Linked DNA regions of Drosophila melanogaster. The protein of the gene in region 2 purifies or fractionates together with the protein of the main gene of each other region. This does not show direct contact. Each region holds a gene or a part of one and is shown on either strand. Other genes may lie near its edges.

Evidence for each region. Proteins that work in one complex are often made in the same cells at the same time.
Region 1: the proteins of HSPC300 (region 2) and SCAR purify together in Drosophila melanogaster (affinity purification with western blotting; 4 studies listed by BioGRID, with this or other methods). This does not show direct contact.

The regions. Positions count from the first base shown.
Region 1 is NT_033779.5:10,974,077-10,982,771, forward strand, and holds SCAR (SCAR), read left to right. Parts: upstream 1-2,695; 5' UTR 2,696-2,994; intron 2,995-3,821; 5' UTR 3,822-3,885; coding exon 3,886-4,630; intron 4,631-4,803; coding exon 4,804-4,905; intron 4,906-5,556; coding exon 5,557-5,637; intron 5,638-6,368; coding exon 6,369-7,036; intron 7,037-7,102; coding exon 7,103-7,352; intron 7,353-7,410; coding exon 7,411-7,589; coding exon of another isoform or gene 7,590-7,646; 3' UTR 7,647-8,319; downstream 8,320-8,695. Other genes in the region: abo (abnormal oocyte), read right to left, coding at 1-134, 192-1,136; ATPsynG (ATP synthase, subunit G), read right to left, coding at 1,826-2,085, 2,175-2,214; piwi (P-element induced wimpy testis), read right to left, coding at 8,582-8,695.
Region 2 is NT_033778.4:24,026,346-24,031,425, reverse strand, and holds HSPC300 (haematopoietic stem/progenitor cell protein 300), read left to right. Parts: upstream 1-2,636; 5' UTR 2,637-2,691; coding exon 2,692-2,812; intron 2,813-3,301; coding exon 3,302-3,411; 3' UTR 3,412-3,709; downstream 3,710-5,080. Other genes in the region: CG30172 (uncharacterized protein), read left to right, coding at 261-456, 583-725; CG3163 (uncharacterized protein), read right to left, coding at 942-2,048; EbpIII (ejaculatory bulb protein III), read right to left, coding at 4,031-4,411.

The DNA of each region.
Region 1 (8,695 bases), on a different chromosome or scaffold from region 2:
GTGTAGAATACATACAAGCGGCGCGGTGATGTAGCCATGGGCATGGTATCGGTACCATTTGGCCGCTCTTCATAGCGCAACATTAGAAGTTCATTGTTCACCAGATGCATTCTCTCCATGATCATGTGTTCTATCTAAATGAGATATGTAAGGATGTGAAGACCGTTGTCACTCTTTATAATGTTACTTACATACTCAAAGTTTTTATAAAACGACTTCTGACTTTCCGTCGGGTTGCCACTTTTATCATTAATTTTACGGTACAGAAAGCTAAGGACGCGCTGTTTAATGTGCGTTATGGGCAAAACTGTGGTGGCGTCAAGATTGTCAAAGTCTGTGGTAGCCTTCTCGATAAAGTCCCTCGGCCTGGGACCAATAGTCTCCTGCTGGTGGAACTTACCGTCATTCACCCAATAGACGTAAACGCACTGATGCAGCCGGGACATCATCATCACTGTTGAGCCAAACACGGAAATTCCATGATTGTGGGCAATGACGATGGAGTCGTTAGGCAGGATAAGTCTATCTGTGACGACGCCTAGCTTCAAATCCACCAGAAAGAACACATACGAGAAGGCGTCCACTTTGTCGAACAGATCTGGGTACCGTACGTAGTCATCGACCGGCAGTGCGCCGCGCACAACGGTCATGGCAGCCAGCATGGCATAACGACCCTCTTCCAGGAACACACTGAACTCCCGGTGCAGATAGTAGAGGCCAAAGTCGCCTTGGCATAGATTCAGCGTCTCTTTTGTGGGAAACAGGCGTTCAAAGATCCTGCTCTTGAGTATGGTGTCCTGGCTACTGAAGCACTCGCCACTGCCTACATCCGCCTGGCGAATCAGTTCACCCACCGCCGCACAACTAGAACCCCCGTAGCTGTATATGAGCAGACTGCGCTGATCCTGCGAGAAGGCCAACAGTTTTCTGCCATCCGGCGTAAACTTGCGCAGGTAGATCGGCGGAATGGTAATCGAGTCAATTGTCAGGCAAGGCGTGATGCACTTGTAGAAGAGACGCTCGTAGGCCAACAGCGGCATCCTGCCCGGCTGTTGGCCCACGTTGGTGTATCCGGACTCGCGGTTCTGCAGCAGATGCACGAGGTTCTGCGATTGTAGGCGCTTCTTGTAGGCCATTCTGACAGATCCTGGGAAAGTTCTGCCAAGTTCCTATTCCTAATGTCAGCCGGGTTCTTCTTCCGATCGGAAGGTAACTAAAGTAAAGTGTGACCGCAGTTAGATTACAAAAATTTACTCTGTCTACAAAAGTTTTGTTGTTAAAAAATATAAGTATAATAATAATAATATTAATGCTTTTCAAGATTCAAATAAAAAACGTTATTTATAAATAAAATAATTCAATACATCTTACTTTACTTTGTTTAAAAAAATGTGTAAATGAATTATCTATGAAAAGCAAATTTAGATTTATTTATTTTTTTTTTTAAATAAAATTATTCTTGAGTGCTTTTAAATGCTCTAAGTATATTATGTATTTCTGAACCATTAGCCTCTTTGATTACGACACCGTTTCATAAACATTTGATGTATAACATTACATATATTTTTTTAATTTTTATCATTAAATATCGTCAACTTTTAATTCCAAACTTGGTTTTACATCACCTCATCTTTAGCTTACACAAATCCCGCGCAAACGTTCTAACGGTTTTCAAAAAACAATGTATTTTTCGAAAATTTTCGGAATTTTAAATTACTATTTCACTTTATTCAGAGTCGAAATGTTCGCAGACATATAAATATACACATCTGTTAGGGATTACGTTGCCCATTCCAGTGACTGCCAAGCGGAGACTATAGTAAGCTTAGACATTGTAGCCTACAATGTGACGCTTGCCGATGCACTCGCCGATGTAGAACCAGAAGATGACCTCGGCGGTCACCAGGGTGTTAAGCCAGGCCTCGCGAACCGTGAGGTTCTTGTAGGCGCCGGTCTTGGCTCCCTTGATGATGTTGCCCAGTCCTTGGCGAATGGCCGGAATATCGGCGGGCGTCGGGGGCGTCAGTTCCACCTTGGCGTACTTCAGGAACACGTCCAGTTGGGGCCTCGCCTGTGTGAGGAGCCCTGCAAAAAGTGATCATTACATAATTTTGCGATTGACAGGCGCCAATGGTGGTGTATCCATTCGATTGCATTCGATTCACGACACTCACTGTTCACAAGTCCTGATCCCTTGGTAGCCAAACTCGCCATCTTTTCAATTTGGTTCTGCAAGCAGTTGGAATTATACAAGAGGAAATCAACGAAATGTGCGGAAAACTTACCTATTCAGTGTGCGACGAAACAGAGATGTTATGCATTGGGGCCAGGGCTGGAGCACTAGTTATCGATCGGCGGATAAATACCAAAAATACCAAATATACATTTCTAAAGTTAATGGAAGAAACTGCAAACAGTAATTTTAAATAACGTTAATAAAATAGCTTATTATGGATAATATAGAGTTAAAATAAAATAAAATAAATTGAATATATATTTATATTTAAAATATTTCATTCTATACAGTAAATAAACAATATGAAATGAGTTACTGAAAATTCCCTTGCAAAATTTATTTAAATATAGTAATTAAAATACATATTACATTTAATATAAAAATAACTTTTTCCCCACCGCATCGTGCAGTATATTTGTCTGATTTTCCGAAATGATGAATCCCTGCAGTATTTTCGAACCACAAAGCTTCGGTCACACTGCAAAGGTGTGGAAATCTTAGTTTCCACAAAACGAGCAAATATTTGCAGTTTTCAAGCCCCAAATTGGCTAATTAGAGTTCGCATCGGATCGAATTTGCCACCGAACCCCCGAAACGGAAGTGGCTGCTTAATGTTTGTTGTGGTGCCAGCCGCCAAACGAAAAGTGTGACGGGCGGTGAGTGTACGATATGCTGTAAAGTGAGGTGGACTGTGTAAAACTAAGCTGCGCCGTTCAAAACCAAAATCAAAATCGCAGCAGCCACTACGATTAGAAAGTGTGAGAGATACCTTTGTGTGTGCATTGTTGCGATTTAGTGCGAATGTTTCAGTGCGAAAATCTGAAAGAGTCAGCCGTTCCGTCCCACACATATGTATGTACATTTACTTGGGTGCTGCTGCTGCTGCGGTTCATGCGTGTGTGTGAGTGCGTGACGGTCTAATTTGCGTTGGTGGGAGGCCGCCGACGATATACGTATATGCACGTATGGAATAGGTGCCCACGTAAAGGCCCCAGGTCGTAGCACCCAGAAACTGCCACCGAAAAGGGGGGCATTATCGACTAATCTCGCCGGGACTGCAAGGTGCATCTTGCGGGGGTGACTTGGGCGTTACGCCCTTATCACCTCGCTGTGGGTATCGTTTCGTGGGGTGTGGTCCAGACGTCGAGTTCGTCAGTCGCGCATATCACAAAACAATTCAAATGGCATTTTGGTGATTGTAATGAACACGTCTCATGGATACATGGATAAGCGTCTCGTGAAATCTTCTGCAATACCATTCTGAGTCTTGTTCATAGACGGTTTAGTATAGTGATGACAAAATTTCTTTTAAACCAATTTTGATAGTATCCAATTAACTTTTTAAACGTCTACTTTTACGGGAAAATTTATAAACAAAGTTAAACGACAATTTGGGAAGTACAATTTTATCGGAATGAAATGTCTTCAATTGATAATCAGCATAAAAAGAAATCTTTTTATTATTGATCCCAATTTGGCATGAGATTATGTAGTAAATCAGTAAATAAAGGGTTTTATATTTAATTAATTTTAAATGCATTAATTCGTATTAAAACAATTTATTACTTATTAATGCCGTTTTCAGTCGATGAGGACGCACTAATTTACGGGTTTGCCAATTTGGAGATAATTGTCAATCGCGCCCGACCATGCCGCTGCCCAAACGATCCATAGAACCCGTGCATGTGGCCCGCTCCGTGTATCAGCAGGATGAGCTGCAATCCGTGGAGCTGGAGACGGTCACCAACACCACGCTGACGAACATCATTCGCCAGCTGTCCTCGCTGTCCAAGCACGCAGAGGATGTGTTCGGTGAACTGGCCCGCGACGTGGGCAACATCGGGGATCGAGCTAACTCCCTGCAGGCGCGCATCGATCGCCTAGCTATCAAAGTTACCCAGCTGGACAGCACAGTTGAGGAGGTGCCCTTGACGGACATTACCCGAAAGAAGGCCTTCAAGTCGGCCAAGGTTTTTGATCAACAGATCTTCTCGCGCGCCACCATGCCGGCACCAATGATGGACACATATGCCCAGTGCGACAAACCGCCGCCCCTCGACAAGCTTAATGTCTATCGAGACGATGGCAAGGATGGTCTTAAGTTCTACACGGATCCGAACTACTTCTTTGAGTTGTGGCGACAGGAGATGCTGAAGGATACCGAACGTGTGATGCACGACAAGGGCAAGAAGCTGAACAGACCGCGGCAGGATGGCGGTGCCGGCGGAGCTGCTGGACGTGGCAATAAGAAACAGAAGACCAAAATAAGGGTGCCGCACAATACGCGCGAACAGCAGCGACAACGTGCACTGGTGCACGGCGAAACATTGATGCCCAACAACGTCATCTACCGCACACCGAATTCCATGGTCAACGAAGAAGCCGGATACGGAAGTAAGTACTTGGCGAAAGGGATTGGTCTCCGTGTGAGCCAAGTATTCAGTGCGAACCAAATTCATAGGCTGTTATTGGTACGTTCGTTTCGCGCACTGACTATTTGCACTTGTCTTGCCTATTGAATGGTACATCTATTTTAATTATCAATTATGTCCTGTCTGCCCGTGTAGTTCAGCTAGTCAAAATACAGACTGTGGGCGAGGCTGACATCGATTTGCGGCATAGCACTCTCGATGCGCACCACCAAGTTGTCGGTAATATCCAAGACGTAGGTACGATGATGGGGCCACGTAGCTTTCATTTCCGCCCGGCAGACATCCCACGATACAGATGTACCCGCCATTCATTCACCTACTTCACTCAAAAGCTCGCTAGTTTTCGATGCGCCTCAAAACCCAGTTCGAAGATCACTAATTTGTATTATTTTGAAGTTGCTATTAATTGAAATTAACCCACACAATCATGACCCAGAGAAAGGTGACCGAAACAAAGTTTCCAGAGCTTAAAAAATAAATGAAATGGTACTTAACATAAATTCCATCTAAAGTTTGATTAAAATCTCAGATACAGGATATATTCGATCTAATTCATTATTATTACACCATTAGCAAAATGGTCTATGGCCAGTCTAGTTCATCCTCCTGTAAGTTAGCAAGACTTTCGAACTTGATTTGTCTCTAATTTGAATTCACTGACTTTGTTCCAATGAAGTTCGTCTTGTTGATGGTAAATACAATACGGTCAGAGAACCTTACAATTTCATTCTCCGAATGGTCGATTATTTTTCGCAGCTTTTATTTATTTGCATGTTGTTTTTATGAACTACTCTTTCGTTGTTTTCGGTTATGATATTAATGAACGTGAACATAAATATGCATTGCAATTACGAATGGATCAATCGCGCATAACCATCTCATTTACAGATACAGTAAAGCCTTATAATATGCTTTCGCATTTGGAGAATAACAGTAATGTCACCAAGCAAACCGCCGTTGCGATTGCAGGTTAGACATCCACATCCACTTTTAGCAAGCTCAGTAAAGACTATATATGTTCTTTCACTCGCTTCTATCCCCATATTACCTTACTAGCAATCCTTTTTGAGTTCCTTTAGCATTTGTGTGTACAGAGAACACTCTCTTTTTCAAACTATCAATCGGAATGGCGATGATTTATGAGTTTCATTGGTCATGCAAAGTGCAGATTTATTATCTCAAAACACTGTAAACTAGTCACCTTCTAACTTGCAATTTTAATGTAATGTGTGTGCACATTATATTTACAATGCATCTTGCATTTTGCATAATACTTTAATTCATTTCATACTCGCGATTCGTGATTGAGCCGCAGTTTTTGTTTAGGATCCTCCTATCTTTCTGTTGTAGTTCAGTCAATTTCCATATCTACGTCTACATGTCACTCTGCAGCTTTACTAATTCCTTTCTGTCGCCACATCTTATTCTACGAAAGTATCTCTAAATTGTTTTCTGTGCAACGAGCTAACAAAGACTTTTAATCGGATGTTTGTATATTCAACAAAATTTCTATTCGAGTCCAGCGGTCTCATATGCACAGAAATTTGGAATTGCTTGTAATTACATATGTGTCTTATTGTTCCTCGGCTGTAATTACAAAATAATTGGCGTGTTTTTAAATGAGATGTGTGTCCTGTAAAAACGTTCATTTTAATGGGTGGTTAGTCAACGGCTCTAATATCTCACATTCATTATTCTAGATATGGGAGTGTACGATACACGTCCGCCACGTCCTAACTCGATCGAATTGAACCGAAGCTATCAGTCGGAGCAGATCGATGGTAGCACCTACGAGCAGCTTCCACCGCAGATGGGTAATCAGTATGCTGCCACCTTCGGCAACGGCATGGGTGGCCCCCAGCAGATGCACATGCAGCATCAGCAGATGTATGACGCCGGAATGTATCAGTCGCATGCGCTGTACGGCCAAACTGGACAGGGAGTGATGTCGCCGGAGCCCATCTACGGACCGGGAACACCGTCGCGTAACAAACCGCGTCCGTCGCAGCCGCCACCGGCTCCGCCATCGAATGGCAGCGGTGGTGGTACGCCCACAGCCTCCAATGCCAACACTCCGACAAGGGGCAGAAGTATGTCGACCAGTCGGGATGCCTTGCCACCGCCTCCACCAGTTCCAGACGTCATTTCACCAATGTCTGGCATGAACGGAGTCAACAGCGGGCATATGGCGGCCAAACTGCTTGGCCGGGCGAACAGTTCGTCGGGAGCTGGATCTCCCAACAGCGTCCAGAATGCCAATGATATGGTCATGACGCAACTGAGCAATACTTTCCACAGCATCGGTATGACGGGCAATCAACTGAACTCCCTTAGCGACTTGCCGCCACCGCCGCCGGTTCCAGATCAGGTTTGTTGTTCACTGATGGGTGTTAATATATCACAATTTGGTTTAATTTGTGGCAAAACCTTACAGCACTCGCCTAAGATGTCGCCACCTAATGCCGCGCCACCACCGCCGCCGCCACCGCCTCCAGTCGAGGAAGGCATGGGCAGTGGCAACCAACACACGCTGCGCCCGCATCAAATTCTTCCCAAATCACTGGCCAATGGCGAAATGCAGCAGCCCGGCCAACAAAATGGTGTGCCTCACATTGTCGCACCCAAGAAGATGCTGCCTCCATTCCATGACCCACGCAACGACTTGATGAAGGCCATTCGAGATGGTAAGTAATTGCCATTCAAGGTTCGAATGCAAAAATATCATCAAATTAATCTTTCCAGGTATTACTCTACGTAAAGTTGAAAAGTCAGAGCAAAAGGAAATTGAACGAAACGCGGCGCCATTGGATGTGGCTTCAATCTTGGCCAGACGTGTGGCTATCGAATTATCCGAGTCCGAGGATTCGGATAGCGAAGACGACAGCGAGGGCTGGATGGAACCGAACGAAACATCGGCTTGATCCCTGATTAACTCGTTAAAGCCTGACATAATTCTAAAAAACAAAAAGAAGAAGTAATTCCAAAGAGAATTAATCCATACGATGGTCGAAACCAAGCGTGGTATGAAATTGGATTACACAAAAGCACCAAAGCTTTTCTACCACCCTTTATACAATATACACCTAATCCTAAATAATATGTCTAAAATCAAAAGTTTCATTGAATTGTATATACACCAACGAGTAATTATCGTTAAATTAATCGCTATAGTGAACGAACGCATTTGCATTTTAAGCCTAGACGACAATCCAAGGAAAGCGATTTAAAAGACTTGCTAATTTTGTTCGCTTCTTTGGAGTCAAGGTCTGAGTAGATATGGGCTTCTGTATCATAGTAGTCGGTGTTTGGATATTAAATTATAAATAATCGATATTATCACTGAACTCAATCCTACCCCAACTTGCAATCGATACGATTAATATAAAACATTTATCCAAAATGAAAATTTAGAATTTTGTAAATACAAACACATTAAAATATATCGAACTCCGTAGCATTTCAGTATACTCAACAAGCTATGAAATTGTATTATCCTTGTGAAAGTTAAATACCTGTATAATTAATAAAATATGTTTCACGAATATAAGCAGCCATGAATGTGTGGTTAAGTAAGCAAACATGGATGTATGTAATTTTTCTTTACATAAACTAAAATATACAATAAAAAATAAAGTAATTATATTCCAAATTAATGAACATGTCTTGATAGATAACTTTAAATGTTTGTTTGGGAATTTCCTCTGGTCTTATGCTTAAATACCAGAATCTTAATCCTCAATTTTGCTTTTGTTTGAAAAAAGAGCAGTAATGCATTTCAAATACAAAATATTTAGTCATAAATGCTGAAGTGCTTAGCAAAAGTAAGAAAGTATTGAAAAAGTATAAATGTCTGGGCTAGTTTCATATATGGCCTCTTAGTAAGGATTAATACTCCATTCTAAATTATATCCAATTATAGATAATAAAACTTCTTTTCGAGCGCGTTTTGCGGAATAGAGTGCAAGTTCGTACCCACGAGGGTAGCTAGCTTCTTAGCGTACTGGCAAACTGCTGGCACTCGTGTGGT
Region 2 (5,080 bases):
CTCAGATGCTTACAACTGAATAGAATACCAAGATAGCCAATTTGAAGGAATGCTATCATATACGAAAGATTGCCATGTATATAGAGTACGTGGCATCTCATCAGATATTCGGATTGTAATCACAGTGCTTAGCAATCATTACCCTTTCCGTGATTTTGCGAAGTCCAGCTCCTTTGCGCATGCACGAATATCTGCGGGATACAGATACACAGTTTCTGCTCCACATTCAGTTATACTATACCGTCTCGCGTTCAGAAAGGATGCTACTTTTAAATAAAAACCGAGTGATTTCTTTGGTCGTTAATTTTATTTTTCTTATCATTCTCATTTCATCGAGTGTCCAAGCGGATGAGAGAAACATTAACAAGCTGCTGAACAACCAGGTGGTGGTCAGCCGCCAGATTATGTGCATCCTGGGCAAGAGCGAATGCGACCAACTGGGACTTCAACTCAAAGGTAATAAACATATTCGTTTAATGTTCGTTCAGATACAACATCATTTTAAGTCCAAAGTTCTTTTCAAGTTCTTCGCCAATTGGTAAAGAGCCCAAAATGTAATTATTTCGAATTTGGTTCTTACAGCTGCCCTGCCAGAAGTTATAACCAGGAAATGCAGGAACTGCTCCCCACAACAGGCTCAAAAAGCGCAAAAGCTGACCACATTTCTGCAAACTAGATACCCGGACGTATGGGCCATGCTTCTAAGGAAGTACGACAGTGCCTAAATGGCATTTAAATGTTATTCTCATGCATCGAATATAATAAACTAGTCTCGACATCATTCCTAGCATTTGGTTTCGTAGCTTAGGGGATTTTCTAAGGATTAGGCGGCTGAAAGGAATCCCTCCTTTAAATAAAACATGGCTTTGTACACATGACTGTCTCTTTACATCTTATTATTACATAAACTCTAAAAGTACGTCTTTAAAGGGGCCAGGCCATCATTTACTGTGGCTCTCTAGGTAAACTGTTGCATTGTCCACGCCCATAAACTGGTGTATACTCAGCGAGGACAGCATTTTCATCTGGCCCTGGTACAGCACATCGGCGATGATCTTTTCCGCGTAGATAGCCTGTGTTCCGTCCATGGAGCGAAGCTTGTGTGCGATAATTTTCCCGAAGTTGGAGAAGTGGTCGTCCAGCTGGCTGTCCGCACTCTTTAGGGCCAGCGAAAAGAGGCGCTCAAAGTCAATGGTGGAAATGTCCGCTCGGAATTTACCTGGAGGCGGCTCGTTGTCCTCCGAAATCTGCGAAGAGACCGAGGAGGACCTTTTCCGTGTTATGTGATTGGCTTTCTGGCTCGGGCTCTGATTACTGATCAGTTTCGTTTGGTTCTGGGTGACGATGCGCTTGCACTGCGGCGATTCGGAGTCGCCAGGCGGAGACTTTATGGAGTCGGGCACGGATTTTCTGCGGGCGGACAGCAGCCTGTTGTTAGCAGGCACCACGATTTCGACCTCCTTGATAGTAGCGCCACTGGCATGGCTGTTGGCGTTGTTGACTGTTTTAATACTGATAACGGGGTCAGCGGCAGCGGCGGCGGCGGCCTCCTCGAAGATGTTGGCACAGAATTCGTTGGCGCTGTTGTTGGGTGACATCTTGATCGAGTCTGCCGTCGGCTTTGGGGGCTTGTGCAGGCTCTCGGCGTCGGAATACTCGTCGCCGTTCTCTGGCGCCCCTAGCTGCATGGAGTTGTCCAGGCAGACCGACTGCTCGCGCTTGAACTTCTTGTCGGCGGGGATCTCCTCGTCCTTAAGGAACATCAGGGACTCGAAGTAGCGGCGCTTGGGGCAGTAGGGCTCGTACTTCTCGCCCTTTTTCTTGACCTCGTTGTATTTCCTCAGCTGATGACGAAATGCACAGCGCAGATTGTTTATCTTTTGCTTTGTTCGCTCCACATTGTACATCTCCCCGTGCTTGGTGGCCACCTCGATGAGCTTCGCGTAGGCCTCCTGCCGGCGGCTGCGGTTCCTGAAGTCCGCCGAGTCCGCCTTCCACAAGCACGGATTGCTTTTGTATTCTTCGATGAAGTCGTCGATAAAGTCCATTTTTTGTTTACCAAATGAAAAACACTGTAGTTTACGGGGCCACCTAGTTTATCTATGTGTGCGTGTGCGTGAGTGGCATCAATAGCTATCGTTTCGCTCGGCTCATTCCGATTGGAACACGCGGAATCGGACCGCAAAATGGGTACATACTTTGCTGGTTTGCAGTAATTCCTTAATAAATATCATTTAAAACAATAAAACATCGAAAACTAACCCACGGTTAATATAAAATATAGCAAACGCAAATTCGAATATATCTATGTATATTGCGATATACAATTGTATATTGCGGCGATAAGTTTCTTTATATATTCGGCTGTGTCTACCCCAATACTTTTATTATTTACCTTTATTTTATTATTCATATTTACACGCTATAGTTGGCAGACAAAAATATTAAGTTATTTCTTTCATCGCACTTTCCCGCGTAATTTTTAAATAGTAGTGCTTAGGGAGTGTTGTAAAACACCATTAAAATTTCTTGTTGGAGTAAAAATTTGATCTCAATGAATCACGGTGAACACGGTAATTGTATGCCTATCGATAGTTCCAAATTTTTGACAATAATTGTTCCGGCCCAACCCATCTCTCATCTCTAGATAAACACAATTAAAACGAACAGAAACAATAGGAATAAATAAAGATGAGTGGGGCTCACAGAGAGGCGATCCAAAAGCAGATCCACCAGGACTGGGCGAACAGGGAGTATATCGAAGTGATAACTGCCAGCATAAAGAGAATCACCGACTTTCTGAACTCTTTCGGTAAGCAACCTGCATACGAAGCACCCACTTCCCTCTGACGCATGTGTGTGTGCGCGTGTTTATTATCACTTCCTTTGTAGGTGTGGGTGAACGCATAAGTAATATTACTAACAAATATTCATCAGTGACAATGACTTTATTTACTCAAGTCTTAAGTCTATAGAAACAAACAGTGGTTTGTGCGTGGTGGCATATATGTATAGCAATATATGTATCTACATACATATGGAAATGTATGTATGTAACATCATCGGAGGGCTCAAAACGAAAATTCGGCTTTATCTCTATCCGAATTAGTCACCTAAATGAATTGGATAAGCTTTTTCGGTTGCTCTATGCATAATTTAAGATACGCTAAATACTGTGATAAATGATAAGCCAAAGAGTGCGAGGTAGTTGGGTTGCTAAAATATCCCATATCCTTAATAGGGTTTATGTACACTGTTGGCATTATAAACTGTATCATCGTGTGCTATCATATCCTTTCAGATATGTCCTGTCGCTCCCGTCTGGCGGTGCTGAACGAAAAACTAACGATCCTGGAGCGGCGCATAGACTATCTGGAGGCGTGCGTCGCCCAGGGTGAAACATTAACGTAAACGCTGCCCACAACCTTATACTAAGCTTTGTACATTTATAAGTAATTAAAATACTGATTTAATATTTAATATCTTTTGATTCGCAATGTGAATTGCCGTGACATTAATAATTCGCTGTACATTGTTTGTTTGTTCTTTGAAGGAAGGTTTTCACGGCTGAGTTACTTGCGGCCATCGGATTCGATTCATTGCCCCTTTTAAGAATAATATAAGTAATAGCTCAGAACCAAGACAAGCACGCGATGTTTTTGCCAACTAACCGTAGCTGCCTTTATTGTCAATGTTAATGCAAATCGCCCGCCATATATAAGCCGCTTATTAGGGTCTAGTCGTAATCTTGTGAATGTTTTTTCTAAGACCTTAATTGTGCTTAGATTAATCATCGTTCTAGTAGCAGGAGGCTAGACTTAAGTGCTACATTTGTCATAGTTAATTTATATACTCTCTGAAGCCTGGCAAATCCCCCTTCGATAACGATATAATACTCGGCAGGTGTATGGTAAAAAAACAAATCTCTTTATTCCGAGCACGATCGTAGAAATAATTTTGATGATCAGATATAAGCGTAGACCTAATTAACAGTGCATATAACCAAGAGTTTCCGGAACCGGGATCCGCCTTACACCTTGATTCCCGAGGCCTCGGCGGTGGCGCGGTAGCGCTTGATGTAGATCTCATCGGGATCGTACTTGGCCTGCAGCTGCTTCCACTCCTCGGGCTTGTTTTCGATGATGTAGCGAATGACCTTGTCGGTGTTCTGGCGCTGCTTCTCGCTGCACTTGCTGCACTCCGTCTTCAGGGCGTCCGGCAGGGACTTCTTGAGCTCCCGGCCCTCCGGGGTGCACTTTCCGTTGTCCACCAGGCACTTGAAGTAGTTTCCGAAGAGGCGGTCCGACTTCAGGATCTCGTCGACGTCGATGTTGTCGTACTTGGTGGTGTACTTATCCTCGGCGGCGACCAGCACCAGTCCAAGGACGACAAGCGCAAGTATCATCTTCATCTTGGAGTTTTCTGCGGGCGAATTGGGGTAAGTATGTTTGTACGATTAATCAGCACTTTTGTGGCTTAGTGGGTCTGTTGGTCGGGCAACCAGTTTTGTGCGCAGGGGATTTTACTGGGCAATGGAAAAATATTTTTACTAGCCATCGAGCGCGACTGCATTCGCAAAATGTATCTGTGGACTTATGGGATTTGTATGCAAATTAATGCACAGCCAGGCAGGCCACTTTGTATGCGTATCTGAAACACATTCGCTGTCTGAAAAGATGTCACTGTTTATACACAATGAAACTGGTTGCCCGTCTGGCTGCGTCCATGAGTGTGTGGACTACTACCAGCCACCAGTCGACCAGCCGAGCCGATCGGCTCCAAAAACTATAAACGGTGCGGTGGTCTTACAATGGGGCTCGACTTGTGGGGCGACTCGGAGCGAATAGATGTGAAGCAATTCAGCTGCTGGAACTAACTGAGAAATGTTTCTATGAAGTGGGCTTTTATACCTGGGCCCACTTTTTACCTGGGATTGAACTTCAAGTGTAATACACAACACAAACCGCGCGCTGTGAGCCTGTGTTCGAGCTCGGCTCGTATCCATACGGGATTGCACACACTTTAGACTTTGAAGCGAAAATCGCTATTGCTGAAAAGTCAACCCAGTGATTAGTCAATC